Drosophila melanogaster: one gene and its partner. The protein of the gene in region 1 interacts with the protein of each later gene in a pairwise test. Each region holds a gene or a part of one and is shown on either strand. Other genes may lie near its edges.

The links.
Region 2: the proteins of Lis-1 (region 1) and nudE interact in a two-hybrid assay, tested with the Drosophila melanogaster proteins (one study listed by BioGRID).

What each region holds. Positions count from the first base shown.
Region 1 is NT_033778.4:16,177,020-16,184,874, forward strand, and holds the start of Lis-1 (Lissencephaly-1), read left to right. Parts: upstream 1-1,806; 5' UTR 1,807-1,933; intron 1,934-2,313; exon of another isoform or gene 2,314-2,353; intron 2,354-4,229; exon of another isoform or gene 4,230-4,786; intron 4,787-4,961; 5' UTR 4,962-5,033; coding exon 5,034-5,071; intron 5,072-5,138; coding exon 5,139-5,439; intron 5,440-5,497; coding exon 5,498-5,654; intron 5,655-5,717; coding exon 5,718-5,895; intron 5,896-5,963; coding exon 5,964-6,099; intron 6,100-6,166; coding exon 6,167-6,518; intron 6,519-6,583; coding exon 6,584-6,657; 3' UTR 6,658-7,855. UniProt on the Drosophila melanogaster protein: Positively regulates the activity of the minus-end directed microtubule motor protein dynein. May enhance dynein-mediated microtubule sliding by targeting dynein to the microtubule plus end.
Region 2 is NT_037436.4:9,897,431-9,902,412, forward strand, and holds nudE (nudE), read left to right. Parts: upstream 1-1,810; 5' UTR 1,811-1,925; exon of another isoform or gene 1,926-1,957; intron 1,958-2,295; 5' UTR 2,296-2,574; coding exon 2,575-2,654; intron 2,655-2,722; coding exon 2,723-2,876; intron 2,877-2,992; coding exon 2,993-3,266; intron 3,267-3,330; coding exon 3,331-3,588; coding exon of another isoform or gene 3,589-3,674; exon of another isoform or gene 3,675-3,767; intron 3,768-3,912; coding exon 3,913-4,004; intron 4,005-4,130; coding exon 4,131-4,406; 3' UTR 4,407-4,482; downstream 4,483-4,982. Other genes in the region: CG6707 (uncharacterized protein), read right to left, coding at 499-625; CG46387 (uncharacterized protein), read left to right, coding at 1,301-1,738. UniProt on the Drosophila melanogaster protein: Chaperone protein with functions in nuclear localization. Required for centrosome duplication and formation and function of the mitotic spindle.

The DNA.
Region 1 (7,855 bases):
GATTTATGATCATTTCACAAATACCACACGTAAGTGGAAAATGTAAAAAAATAAACGAAATGGTCGAGATACCAAAAAAAAAAAATAAAAAGGGGGTTATCTCAATGTCGTGGCTTACACCCAAAGCCTTTTAATGCGGCGGAAATTCATGAGAATGAAGTTGGAAACTCCAGCAATGTCATGTCGCAATATTCTCTGAATTTTTTGTTGGATTTTTTGGATCCCTAGAATCTTATCAAGCCACTTCACAGGCTGGAGAAGTGGCCAGCAGATATAGATACAGATAGTAATCTGGCTTGTTGGACAACCCAATAATAATCGAACAAAATTAACGACAGATTCGCTAAAATCGCAGAGAATCGCCGACGACGATCCTCGAATTCGAATCGCGGCTCTGTTTGCAATCCCATCACGCAGTCGCAAATGGAATGGGTATAGCAATAGATATATAGATATAGATATATAGACTATATTGCCGATATGCTGAGTGCGTCATCGAAGAGCTTGCTAATCGAAAGAATTCCGTACCCTCAAATTGGCAGCACTAATTACTAATTTCAGTTGTCGCTGCCGGCAACGGAAGCAAGCGAAGAAGACAGCTCTTCTTTGGAGCAAATAAAAAAAATGACACTTTCCGATCATTATTAATGGGTTTGGTTATCAGAAAGTGTGGCAATGGAACGTTGACAATTTGCCAATGTCTGTGCCCGATTGTTTAAACAAATCGCAGCGCGCCGAGGTTTTCCAAAACACCAAGTAAGCCAATAATAACAATTTAACGTTTACAAACGAACAAGCGGCCTTTATCATCGGCATATAATCATCAGAGTTGTCGGTCTGATAACAGCCATACGGTGCTGGCTCATAAATGGCTTTCGATTTCGCCAGTTAAACGCTAATGTGGCCAAGAGGATCGGCTACCGCAGGATTAGCAAGCATTGCTAAACTGAATCATATTTAACATATATCTATAGAGCCATAGAATTGGCTGATATAGCGGCTATATCGATATAATGTAATGCGTACAAAATGGCTGATTAAATCTCAAACACTGATAACACACAACGAGTGCCCAAATTTGGCAAATGATTTACATTATTCGGCAATTTTCCCAATGAGCGATTGAGATTGTGTACGATACGCTGCACTCACAGGTGACAGATGGTTGCTAATTGTTGTTGCTGTTTCGCGAATATTTGGGCGCACCAACTATGAATAACGAATGTGTGTGTGTCGCCCGAAAATCAGTAAACTAATAACCGTTTCCGCTGAGCGATTCTCGAATACTGAGCGCCAAAGGGAGCACTCCATAAATCGGTTGTGTTGTGTTCTGGCGCTGTGTGAGCGGTGATAAGGAAAGTTTACTCCCATCGCGAATGTGTGTGTAAGATAACAACAAAGTCGGTTTACAATTAGCAAACTGCAGTGTTGACTATCGAATTGGGATGTGTTATAAATAAATAGCAATACTTATATGGCATAAATAATTGGAAACCCATTTTGTTCACTCACGGATAGGCGTTGTGGTTCCGCAAAAAAAAAGCTGACGAAGGTCCATTTCCTTATCAGCATTTTAAATAGCGCGCCAATTTTTTAAGCTGTTCACACTGCGCTTGCATGGAAGTAGGGCTTAAGTTATGGCAACTCGTTCTTTACTCAATGGTTTCAGTCCTTAGGTCTTATATAAGATATAAAAAGTATTTAGAAGTTATTATACATATTTTTATTAACATTTTTCTACATTCCTAGTCACATCGATAGCTAATCGCTGTCATCGATAGTCCCGTGATGTTTTTTGAGCTGCTTCCACTGCGGTCACACTAATCGAAGCATTTTCGTCCGCTCGTCACTTTTCTGCGTAATTCTTTTCGTATATTTCGATTAAACATAAATAAATAAGCGTAATTATAAATATATGAAATACTAAATTGTTGTAAGTAACGTTCGCTGCATAATAAGAACAAACACCGAGTCGCCGCGTTGTAAATAGAACACCCAAGCAAAATGGATTTTTCGCAACCAACCCGTGTAATGGGCTATTGGGAGAAATGAAGAAAAAAAAACGTCATATGTACAAAACTGCCAATGGCAAAGTGTTAGTTCGCGCATTATGTACCAAGCATGTCGGTTGGAGTCGGAAAATATAATATACTATATGTGCGCTTGGATATTTGTCCTTTTTCCCCATTATGCATATTGCCTTTGGGACATTTCTTTCTCTTGGCCCCCTCTCTCTATCCAAGATGGCCGTCGTAACAGTATTTTCGTTCAAACTGTTGTTGTTATTGTGTTTGTTATTGAAAAGAGAATGAAAAAACAAGCGAAAGAGTTATGCAAATTATGCACAAAAAAAGTAGTGTGTTGAACAAAAAGACGATCAGTAAATAAGTGGAGAAACGAACTATGATTACATTTTATTTACAACCACCAGAAAGCGATGACACATCGAGTGCGTTGGTGTGCGTGCGCGAGTGTGTGTGTGTGTGCGAGTGACGATGTCTGTGGATTTTCGCGCATGTTTGGAGTCCTCCCCCTCGCCAAAAGTAGAATTGATCGATTTTTAGCCAAGTCGAGTCCCCGAACTGGCCGATTCCTTGCATATATGTACTTCCCGTTCCCCCATAGGCCAACAACACCTATTACTGGGCAAACCAGTTCTGCCAATGCACAAGAAATCTCGTTTTATTTTCTTCGTTGTGCTTGTGTAGTTGTTTTTGTTTTTTTTTTACAGTTTTCCGTTTTGGGCTTTTTTGCTGCGGCATTCTTTTAGATATTCAAGACCCGTTGCGATTTCCCAGAATGTGTGGAAAGCGCTCCTGACACTGCAAATTGTTTCTATTATCTAGTGACGAGCTTTTTGCACGTTTCCAGCAGTGGGTTAAAGAAAGGCAAAGCAAAAAGTCTCGGCACTTAACGGTTAGTCCCTGCATTCGATGCCCGTCGTGGGGTTAAAGCTGGAGTTCAAAGCTTTTTTGGCTATTGTTTTCCTTTTTCCTCTCTCTTTTTGCACTTGAAATTGCAATTGCATTTGCTCGCCGGCGCGTGTGTGAGTGTGTGCTAATCAATGAAACACGCAAATAAACAAGCAAAGGCAAGTGCAAGGTCTGTTTGCCAGAGCGGGAGAGAGAGAATAAGCAAGCGAATTCAAACGAAAGGGGGAGTGAGAGGAAGAGAAAGATCCTTAAAATTCAAGACCTTACTGTGTGTGTGTGTGTGTTCGTTGCAGCCCTGGTCTATGCCCCTTGCCAACTATCTCGCTCTCACGCCCACCCAAAACCATTTAAAATTCAAATATTAAATTAACTTGAGCAAGTGCAACAATGAGAATCCCATATGATTTTTACTGATTTAGTAACATTTCTGGTGTGGCGTGCGACCCAAACGCCCCCTTCCCATTGTTTTCATTCCCCCATATGGCACACACCCACAGCTTTACGGTTACAATGCGCATGGCTTTGTGTTTCGGAATGCCTGGTTGCCACAACACAAACAGTGTTGACTTCGTTCGATGGTTTAAGGGACCCCCCACTATCTTAACCCCACTTTGCTGCCCACGCTCCACTTTTCCATTAATACCCGTGACGCTCGCAACGCTTTTCATCGATTTTCCTGGGATATATTTAGATGCGCAGTTAGAGCGCAGCCAAACATCCACCCACAATATTCAAATGATGAGCGCCAAGTGCTCGAATACAGCTGATAAGCCCTATAGGAGTAGTTCAAGTCGCGTCCAGCCGAATGACTCACGGCTATATTGAGTGGCCGTTTCGAATCGGATTCGGCTGTGAACCCGTTTGGTCAGTTTTTGCTTGTCTTTTTTTTTTGCCATATTTGCTAGTTCAAAAAAATCGTTAAATATCATTTGGCCAAAAATAATTTGGAAACGTCATTTCCTAGACCGTGATGTGTGAGCGTGTCTCTCACAGGTGGGGCCATGAAATTAGTAATGAATTCGAGATATTTAGGTCTTGTTTATGTTTTCATAACACCTATTAATTTAATGATCATATAGCCAATAACTATTTAGCACAAATAAAAGAAACAGCTGAATTAGTTTTTATGCTATCAATTGCACCTCTGGTGCCCGTGTTTGTTCTGCTTCTTCGCTCGCACGCTCTTTCGCAGCCTTATTTACCTATAAGAAGTTGCTTGAACTACCGTTAAGTCTGGCTAATTGGCTTTGCCTTGTCGTGGATTTTCCTTCGCTAGTATATTCGTTGGCAACGCGTCAGTTGTCCATCGTTATCAAGTACGCGAGATATGCGTTAGCTATTTGTTTCCGATTGCTGTTGTTATATTGCGTGCTATACCCATGATTTGGCCACCTTGAGTTGATTAAAAAGGTTTTGCAGTCAAAAAAACATGGGCACTAAACAAACAAATAGCGCACCCATATGATTTCTGCCTAATTCCATGTGAAATCGACCCTTGAACTCACCGATGACGAGTGCAGTTCGATTGCAGGGGTTACCAAATGCTGCTGCTGCTTCGCTTCAAGCATTGCCAAAGTTTCGATTATTATTTTTTTTTTGCCCACTTATTCGAGGCACGGGCAACACAAAAATGTGTGCCAGAAACCAAAGACACGATGATAATGATGATGCTCCGCTTTGGGAGAATGAAACAATATAATGACTAGACGAAAGGTGAGCATAGGAAACAGAAATACTGCTGCCAAAAAAATTCAAGAAAATGTGGGTGACTCGCCTGCCCTCCATGAGAACTCAAACGAAACTTGCTGGCATTTTTGGCATTTAGGTTTTGCGAAACCAATTTCCTGTCCCAGGTACATCAAATCATCATATGATTATACAGTAGAAGTTCGATAGATGAACCAAAAATTATACATAACTCTGTCTAACGAAATGGTTTGCAAGATATGTATATAGGAAATATATCTTGTATCTGACTGTGGTAAGAACTGCTGTACACATATTGAATGTCTACCTTTTCCATTGCAGAATTGCAAGAGTTGAAGGCGGATAACCGAATTGCGAACGAGAGAAGCAAAACAAGCCAAATCGGAAAACAGTATGAAAATGGTGTTGTCGCAGCGGCAGCGCGAGGAGCTGTAAGTCCCAGTCGTCTTATATAACTATTACCCCATGAACTAATCCTTTTAATTGTATCGCCATCAGTAACCAAGCGATTGCCGATTATCTGGGCTCAAATGGCTACGCCGACTCATTGGAGACCTTCCGCAAGGAGGCCGATCTCAGCACAGAAGTGGAAAAGAAATTTGGCGGACTGTTGGAAAAGAAGTGGACGTCCGTGATTCGGCTGCAGAAGAAAGTGATGGAACTAGAGGCTAAGCTCACTGAAGCTGAGAAGGAGGTCATCGAGGGGGCGCCCACAAAGAACAAACGGACGCCTGGCGAGTGGATACCTCGGCCGCCAGAGAAGTTCTCCCTGACCGGTCATCGTGCCAGCATAACGAGGGTAAGTTGAGAAGTTAACAAATTAATAAACATTTTACATTTACATTTTATAATTGCAGGTAATTTTCCACCCCATCTTTGCTCTTATGGTTTCCGCATCCGAAGACGCCACCATTAGGATTTGGGACTTCGAAACTGGCGAGTACGAACGCAGCCTGAAGGGACACACGGACTCTGTGCAGGATGTCGCATTTGATGCCCAGGGCAAGCTTTTGGGTAAGATCTTGCCATAGTTGAATATATAGTAAAACCAATTTAATTTTGCTTTAATTGCAACAGCCTCCTGCAGCGCGGACTTATCCATCAAATTGTGGGATTTCCAGCAGAGCTACGAGTGTATCAAAACTATGCATGGTCACGATCACAATGTCTCGTCGGTGGCCTTTGTGCCGGCCGGAGATTATGTACTCTCTGCATCCCGGGACCGCACTATTAAAATGTGGGAGGTGGCCACAGGGTGAGTTAAAGAAAAAGGACATTTCGTTTAAGGGATAATATGACCAACATGTGACTTCTCATCCTCAGCTACTGTGTGAAAACCTACACAGGCCATCGAGAGTGGGTGCGAATGGTGCGAGTGCACATCGAAGGCAGCATCTTTGCCACATGCTCAAATGATCAGACAATACGTGTTTGGTTGACGAATTCAAAAGACTGCAAGGTGAGCATTGCCATGTGCAGCTTCTGCTGGCAATGAAGAGTCTAACGACGGTTTGATTCTTCTGCAGGTTGAATTACGCGATCATGAGCATACTGTGGAGTGCATTGCCTGGGCGCCGGAAGCCGCAGCCTCTGCGATAAACGAGGCAGCCGGAGCAGACAACAAGAAGGGCCATCACCAGGGCCCGTTCCTGGCCTCCGGCTCTCGCGACAAAACCATTCGCATTTGGGACGTGAGCGTCGGCCTGTGCCTGCTTACCCTGAGTGGCCATGACAATTGGGTGCGTGGCCTGGCATTCCATCCTGGTGGCAAATACTTGGTGTCGGCCAGCGATGACAAGACCATTCGGGTGTGGGACTTGCGCAACAAGCGATGCATGAAGACGCTATACGCGCATCAGCATTTCTGCACCTCCATAGGTGGGTCCACACAAGGCATTGTGTGTATGAACTATATATTTTAATTGTCATCCGTTTTCTTGCAGATTTTCACAAAGCGCATCCGTACGTAATTAGCGGTAGCGTAGATCAAACAGTAAAGGTCTGGGAATGTCGTTAAATTAAGGAAGAATCGGCAAGGGTTCTGCTTACTTCTCAATTTAAACATAAATAAAGCTAATATATTAAATCACATACCCACACAACACGCCCATACACGAGCAGTCTCGGCCACCTCCGCGGAAGTTTATTTTCCAGACGCTTTCTGTGTCAGCGTAAAATGAACATATTGTATTTTAAAACTGAATGAAACTGGCGAAAACGAATTATTTATTTAATTGTACGACCTTCTAACTAAACTAACTACCTACCTACTATACAAAGTACATAAACAAAATGCCCAAAAAATACATACATACGATTATCGTTTAAAGTTAATGCCGCCCTCCTTTATAAACCAGCATTGGCTCGCTAAGCAAACGGGCATCCTAACTTGAATTTGTCGTAGAATTCGATGAGAATGGAACGTATTTACAATGGTAAACTGTATTTCATTCGACGGCTAATACCATGTGTACCATGTGGCGCAGAAATGTTTTTCCATCCACAAATGTACCCGAGCACTCGCACTCACTTGAAAAAAATTCAATGACGTTGATGTGTTTTAGTGTTTGCAAAATGTATGCATAATAATAGCTAAATTCACTGGAAAATTTATATAAGCAAGGAAGTATTTCAACATCTAAGAAAACTTGTACTCACAAAGAGAAGTTTGTTAATGAGAATTACTTGGAGAGGAGTGCAACATGCTTTTTATCATAATTGAGGTAGTTTTAACGATAACAGTTTGCTTCTTTTAACCATATTCACTTTACACAATTCCTGTTTTGTGTTCTTTTTCGCGAAAGGATCTTCAACAAAAACAAATACCTTTCAAAATGCTTACAAATTTAAGTTGGCTTTAAGTTCAAAATATAATTTACTTTTACGGTTTACATAGTAGAAAAATGCTGCAAATTTATTTGTAATTGTTTATTTAAGAGCAACGGCAAAAAATATACCTATATATAAATATACTATAAATAATTATTTGTGCAAAACCGAGAAATCATATAGATGTATCTGAGAAAACAAAAACAAAACGCAGAAAAATCCAACAATTAGAAGAAACGATTTTTCGGATTCAAAGAAATCTAATTATTGAAAACAATAAAAACTTGCTTCTTCAAGAAACCAGAAAAAAATATGTTTATACCCAGAACTAAAAATGGTGGATTTCTGTCAAGGGTATAATTAATGTATTGCCTGCGATGTCAAAT
Region 2 (4,982 bases), on another chromosome or scaffold:
ACAAAGGCGGTGCAAAAATTTTGCCGATACCGGCGTCGAGTAACTAACTACAATCGATCTTTACATTTTTGGCAGCTCTTCACAATTTCGTGATAAAATTACATTTTTTTTATGGTGTACGTGGCCCATTTGATATTTAGGCCAATAAGAAAATTTTATATTAGGTTGTAAATTTTTGGTAATACCAATAATACTGGGCCCTATTAAAAAATAAAAAAATGGCAGATAATTTAAAATGGCATTTGGGCACCACATATCCTATCAGTTTTTCTTTCTGTGCAGTCCCATTGCTCTCCCCCCGCACCAAACCACACGCATTTATGACTCAGTTGGGTGAAGTGTGAAAATGCCAAATGAGACGGCGAGCAGACAACTCGGAATCACGGCGTTGGATCCGGATAAGTGGAGCGCCCGCACACTTGTTGGGCTTCCAATGGGTTGCCCGCCCGGCTGATTGGATGCGGGTTGAATGCCCGGCTTTACAGTAACGATACGCACCGTCCTCGTTTGTGGCCACCGATGAGTTGCTGCCGGGATTATCGGCACCCTCGTCCACGGCGTCCACGGAATTGTAGCCATTGCCGTCGTCCTTGTTGATCAGGCTTTGTCGCTCTGGATCCGCCATTGTGGACTATCTTCCGATAAATGGATATTTATATGTGTGGACTATAATCTCTATATGCTGGAGCAATTCCCGTTAGGCTGCACTTCCAGTTGCCTTTGTTTTGTTGTTGCTGTTGCTGCGGGGGCTGCTGCAACGCGTTGATTTCAACTGGAAAATGAGTGGGAAATCCAATAGTTTAGTTGCTGTGCCACATAATTTCGGACGCAACGAGCTCTTTGTTCACGATTGCCGCAGTAGTTTGGTTTTTTTTTTCTTCGTTCGTCGCGGTTTTCACTCGCGTTGATTGAAACACATCCTCCCTTTTTTCACTTTTCGGCATGCGCCGCAATTAATCAATTCGATGATGCTGCATGTGCAACGCCCACGCGAGCTCGATTGTCGCACTCACACAGTTGACATTTGGTTATAATACTGGCAATTGCGTTAATTGTTTAACAATTGCTGGCCATAATTGTGCTATATTTTACCTTATTTTTGTTGAAAATGCACTGCAGTCGCTGCGATCTGGCCACACTCTGGCTAGCTATCTGGCAACGATGTCCCGTTTGAGATTTTTCAGTTGCGGCCCTGCCAGGGAGTTGCCACATCGTTGTACTTGGTAAAGAACCAGAAACAGATCAGCGAAAAATTGTTCATTTTTGGAACCAAAACAATCCAGCGCGGCTTAAAACAAATATGTCTAAAATCACGAAAAACTCCAATAAAATTGACAATAAGGATTCTGTAAGCGGGGAAGGCTCAAATAGTGGGGACGATAACACGTCCACAAGTTCAAGTGACTTTGAAACAAGCAGAAAACACAAACTACGCCGCAAATCCTGTCGAAATGTATCATATCATTATCATGCGCTGCCCATGCGCGTAGTTGGCGAAAATGTTGCAGCACTGCCACAAACTCCCAGCTCCACTCGTGATTTAACACTAAGCTCAGCTCAAATAATTGAAGATAGTTCCGACTCTGAGTTTCATATTTCGGACGATACCAGCAACGATGCGCCGGCCAACAAATCGATAACGTTCACAGCACGTCCATTAGAGAAATATGATTTGGAATATATAAGAAAACTACGTAAACGCAAAAAAAAGCCGAGTAAAACTTTATATGTTGATTAAATTTCAAATAACAACTGTTGACCAGGGCTGGAAACGGCAAATGCCCATCTATTGGCCAACACTGGCAACCCAAGCCAGGGTTGGCTTGTGCGTTTTTGGAGTAGTGGTAAATTTTTACGAGCATAACTATTTACACTGATTTTATGTAAATAAAACAAACAAAACGTAGCAAAATTAAGTGCAAAGTGTAAGTAGTAAATGTGGACAGTCGTGCTGTATAAAATTCTAGGTATAAACACTGGAATTCTACGAAAAAATCACCGATGATTTCATTTCCATGCAGTGCGTTGTTGTATGGGAAACTTCGTCGTAGCTATTTGTTGTTGTTGTTGTTGCTGCTGCTCATCACCATCATCCTCGTTGTTTTCGTTGTTGTTGCCGCAGCAGCTGCGTCACAAAAATGAGTTTTGTTTAATTTGATTTTATTTACATTTGATATGGACAAAACCGACTGCCCTTTTAGGGCATCGAACAAGAACAACAGCAACAGTAACTACAAAATTCAGGGCAAACACCTGTTCCTAATTGATTTTTCACTTTTCTTCGCCGACTTCTAGTCTATTCACCACCCCCAACACACAAAACAAAAAAAAAGTAAAACTACGACTTGAACAACAACTGTGTTTTGGCATTTTAATCACAGCAATTAAAAACAAAGCAGCCAAAAAACACGAATAAATAACCCAAACAGTAATAGACCAACCGTAGTACATAGCATTGTTCAGAAATTAAAAGTTAAATCAATTCGAACGAACGAAATTACAAACCCATTTTGACCGCCGATTAGTACACAAAAACCAGAAAAAGGAGTTAGCAGCTAAGGAAAATTTGCAGAAATGGAGTCGCCCCCGATGTTCAATAGTGTGGAAGATGAGTGCAGATATTGGAAGGAACGATCTAAGCAGTACCACAAAGAGTAAGTGCCCATCCCTATTACAGTCTCCGAAATCAGCCATATAGCCTAGTTTTACTTTTAATTTTCAGGTGGACAGACGTGAAACAGGAGTACGACGAGTTTGTGGAGCAGTCCCGCGAAATGGAAATAGAAATGGACGCCACTCTGGACCAGAAGCAGAGTATAATCAAAGATCTCACAGCCAAACTCACAATGTTTGAGCGGGAAAACGAGTCTCTCAAGGTAGCTATAAGCTAAGCCCGATTTACACAAACTGAGCTTAATTCTTAGACTCAGTTTGCGTATATGTGGCTTTGAGCTCCCGACAAGATTAGTCTTTACAACTATTTCATTCTCAGCTCAAGTTGGAATCGCATGGCATCGATATGTCAAACATGGAGAAACAGCTGGAAACGGTGAAGAAGGATCGCGACACCATGAAGGTGTACCTGCGGCAGCTGGAGCAGAAAAACGACGATTTGGAACGTGCCCATCGCATACTTAACGAAAGCATAGAGAATTTCGAGAAGATGCTGGATCAGGCCTACGAGAAGAACGCCCTTCTGGAGCTGGAAGTGGATGAAAAGGGATTGCTGCAGGAAAAACTACAGCGATTAATGGATGAGACGAGAGGTGGATGCATCTATACCAGATGTCCAGCACAGACTTTAAAACTAATTCATCAAATCTATTGCAGATCTCAAACAAGAGCTGAACGTCAAGTCACGCTTTACCCCAGTGGTCAATGGAACGAGCGTTCCCACGGCAAACGACACAAATACGGTCAACAGCTCGATGAACTCGTCCGCCTCGCTGCCAAATGGTATTGTTGCCAATGGCGAATTGGTAAAACACGACAATGCTGTCGCCACAAGAGCCACCAGCGTCAGCGTCAACGCCCTCAATGGCAGTTTAGTTAATAGAAACGAATATAACCAGCAGCATTCGCTTAAGAGTAAGATACTAAGTTCCCTAAAGAAAACCAGACGCGCGCTAAAACTGTCCAAGACGAATCGCCAAACGTTCAAGCCATGCATTTAGTATTGTTTTTCCATTTGTTTCTTTTTTACTTGTTAACCAAAAAATGTAGCCCGCTTAAGTTCCTCATAATTTGTAATTGTATTGTAAATTATTAAAATTAAGAGCCCAAATGTGACGAAAGAGTTTGCAACATTTCTTGTAGGCGATTTTTGTACGATTTGTGTTTGCGTCTGTAGCTAGTAGTTGACCTAACTAACCTCTCGACTAACATGCTGTGTACGTGTGCTTCCTCTTGCAGATCCCGAGAATCAAATCAATGGCAATTCCATGAACCCCAGCTCCCGCACAACGGCGCTCAACATTGTGGCCGACATGTTAAGAAAACTAAACGTAAGTCCCTCCGCAAACTATAAGTCCAGCATGCCATCCTACCTCATCCATTGTTTCGTATGTACATATGATCCTTGAACCCTTCACTCCCACCATCGGCTTATGTGTTTTTCCCTATGTTTTTAGTGGGACAAGGCACTGCTATGTCCCGAGTGCGAAAAGTTTCGCTGCATGTGTGAGCGCCCGGCAAGTGTGCAGCCGCCGCCGCCGCCATCGGCCAGCGAGGCAAGTCTTTTTCGCCGCGCCTTTGGCGGCAGCAGCAGCTCAGTGGCCACCAGTAGCGCCCAGTCCACGCCCACCAGCGATTGCAGCTCCGCCGGAAGCCTCAGTGCGGGCTCAAACATTTTTAGGCGCTTCGCCGAGCGCATGCGAAACTCGCCGGACGCCAGCCTGCCGCTCTGACAATGCGCTCGGAACTTTAAGGCTAATTTTAGTTGCCCTCCGCTTGCATTTATTAATTGCATTGGTTAATAAATACAAAATTTATTTGTACCTTATTTTATGTTCTTTGTTTTTGTTCGTTATGATTTATTCAGTTTCGAAAGCGCATAATAACTTGGCTTGCTGACTAAACTCTGCACTGGGCAAACCGTTGCGAAATGAAATTTTCATTAATTTATTTATTATATGATGTGCCCAAATCCTTCTATAGTTAATTTTTCATATAGTTCACTGACTGTTGCTTAATCCGCTCTCGTTTTGTGTTTTTTTTTTAGGCGATGGAGACGAAACTGAAGACGTACCGCGAGAATGGTCAGCCAATGCCGCAGCGACACCGCTCCTCCCAGCAATCCACACATCCGGCGCTGGCCGGACTGCCTTGCTTCTCGCTGGATGCCGAGTAGTGTGGATTCTGCAGTTCAGCGTGATCCACAAACCCCAAATCCGAAACCCAATCACCTAGGGCGGGATACTGTTCAGTTGGCTTTACGTTTACGTTACGTTACTTTAATGTTACTGTTCGCATTAATTAAGTTT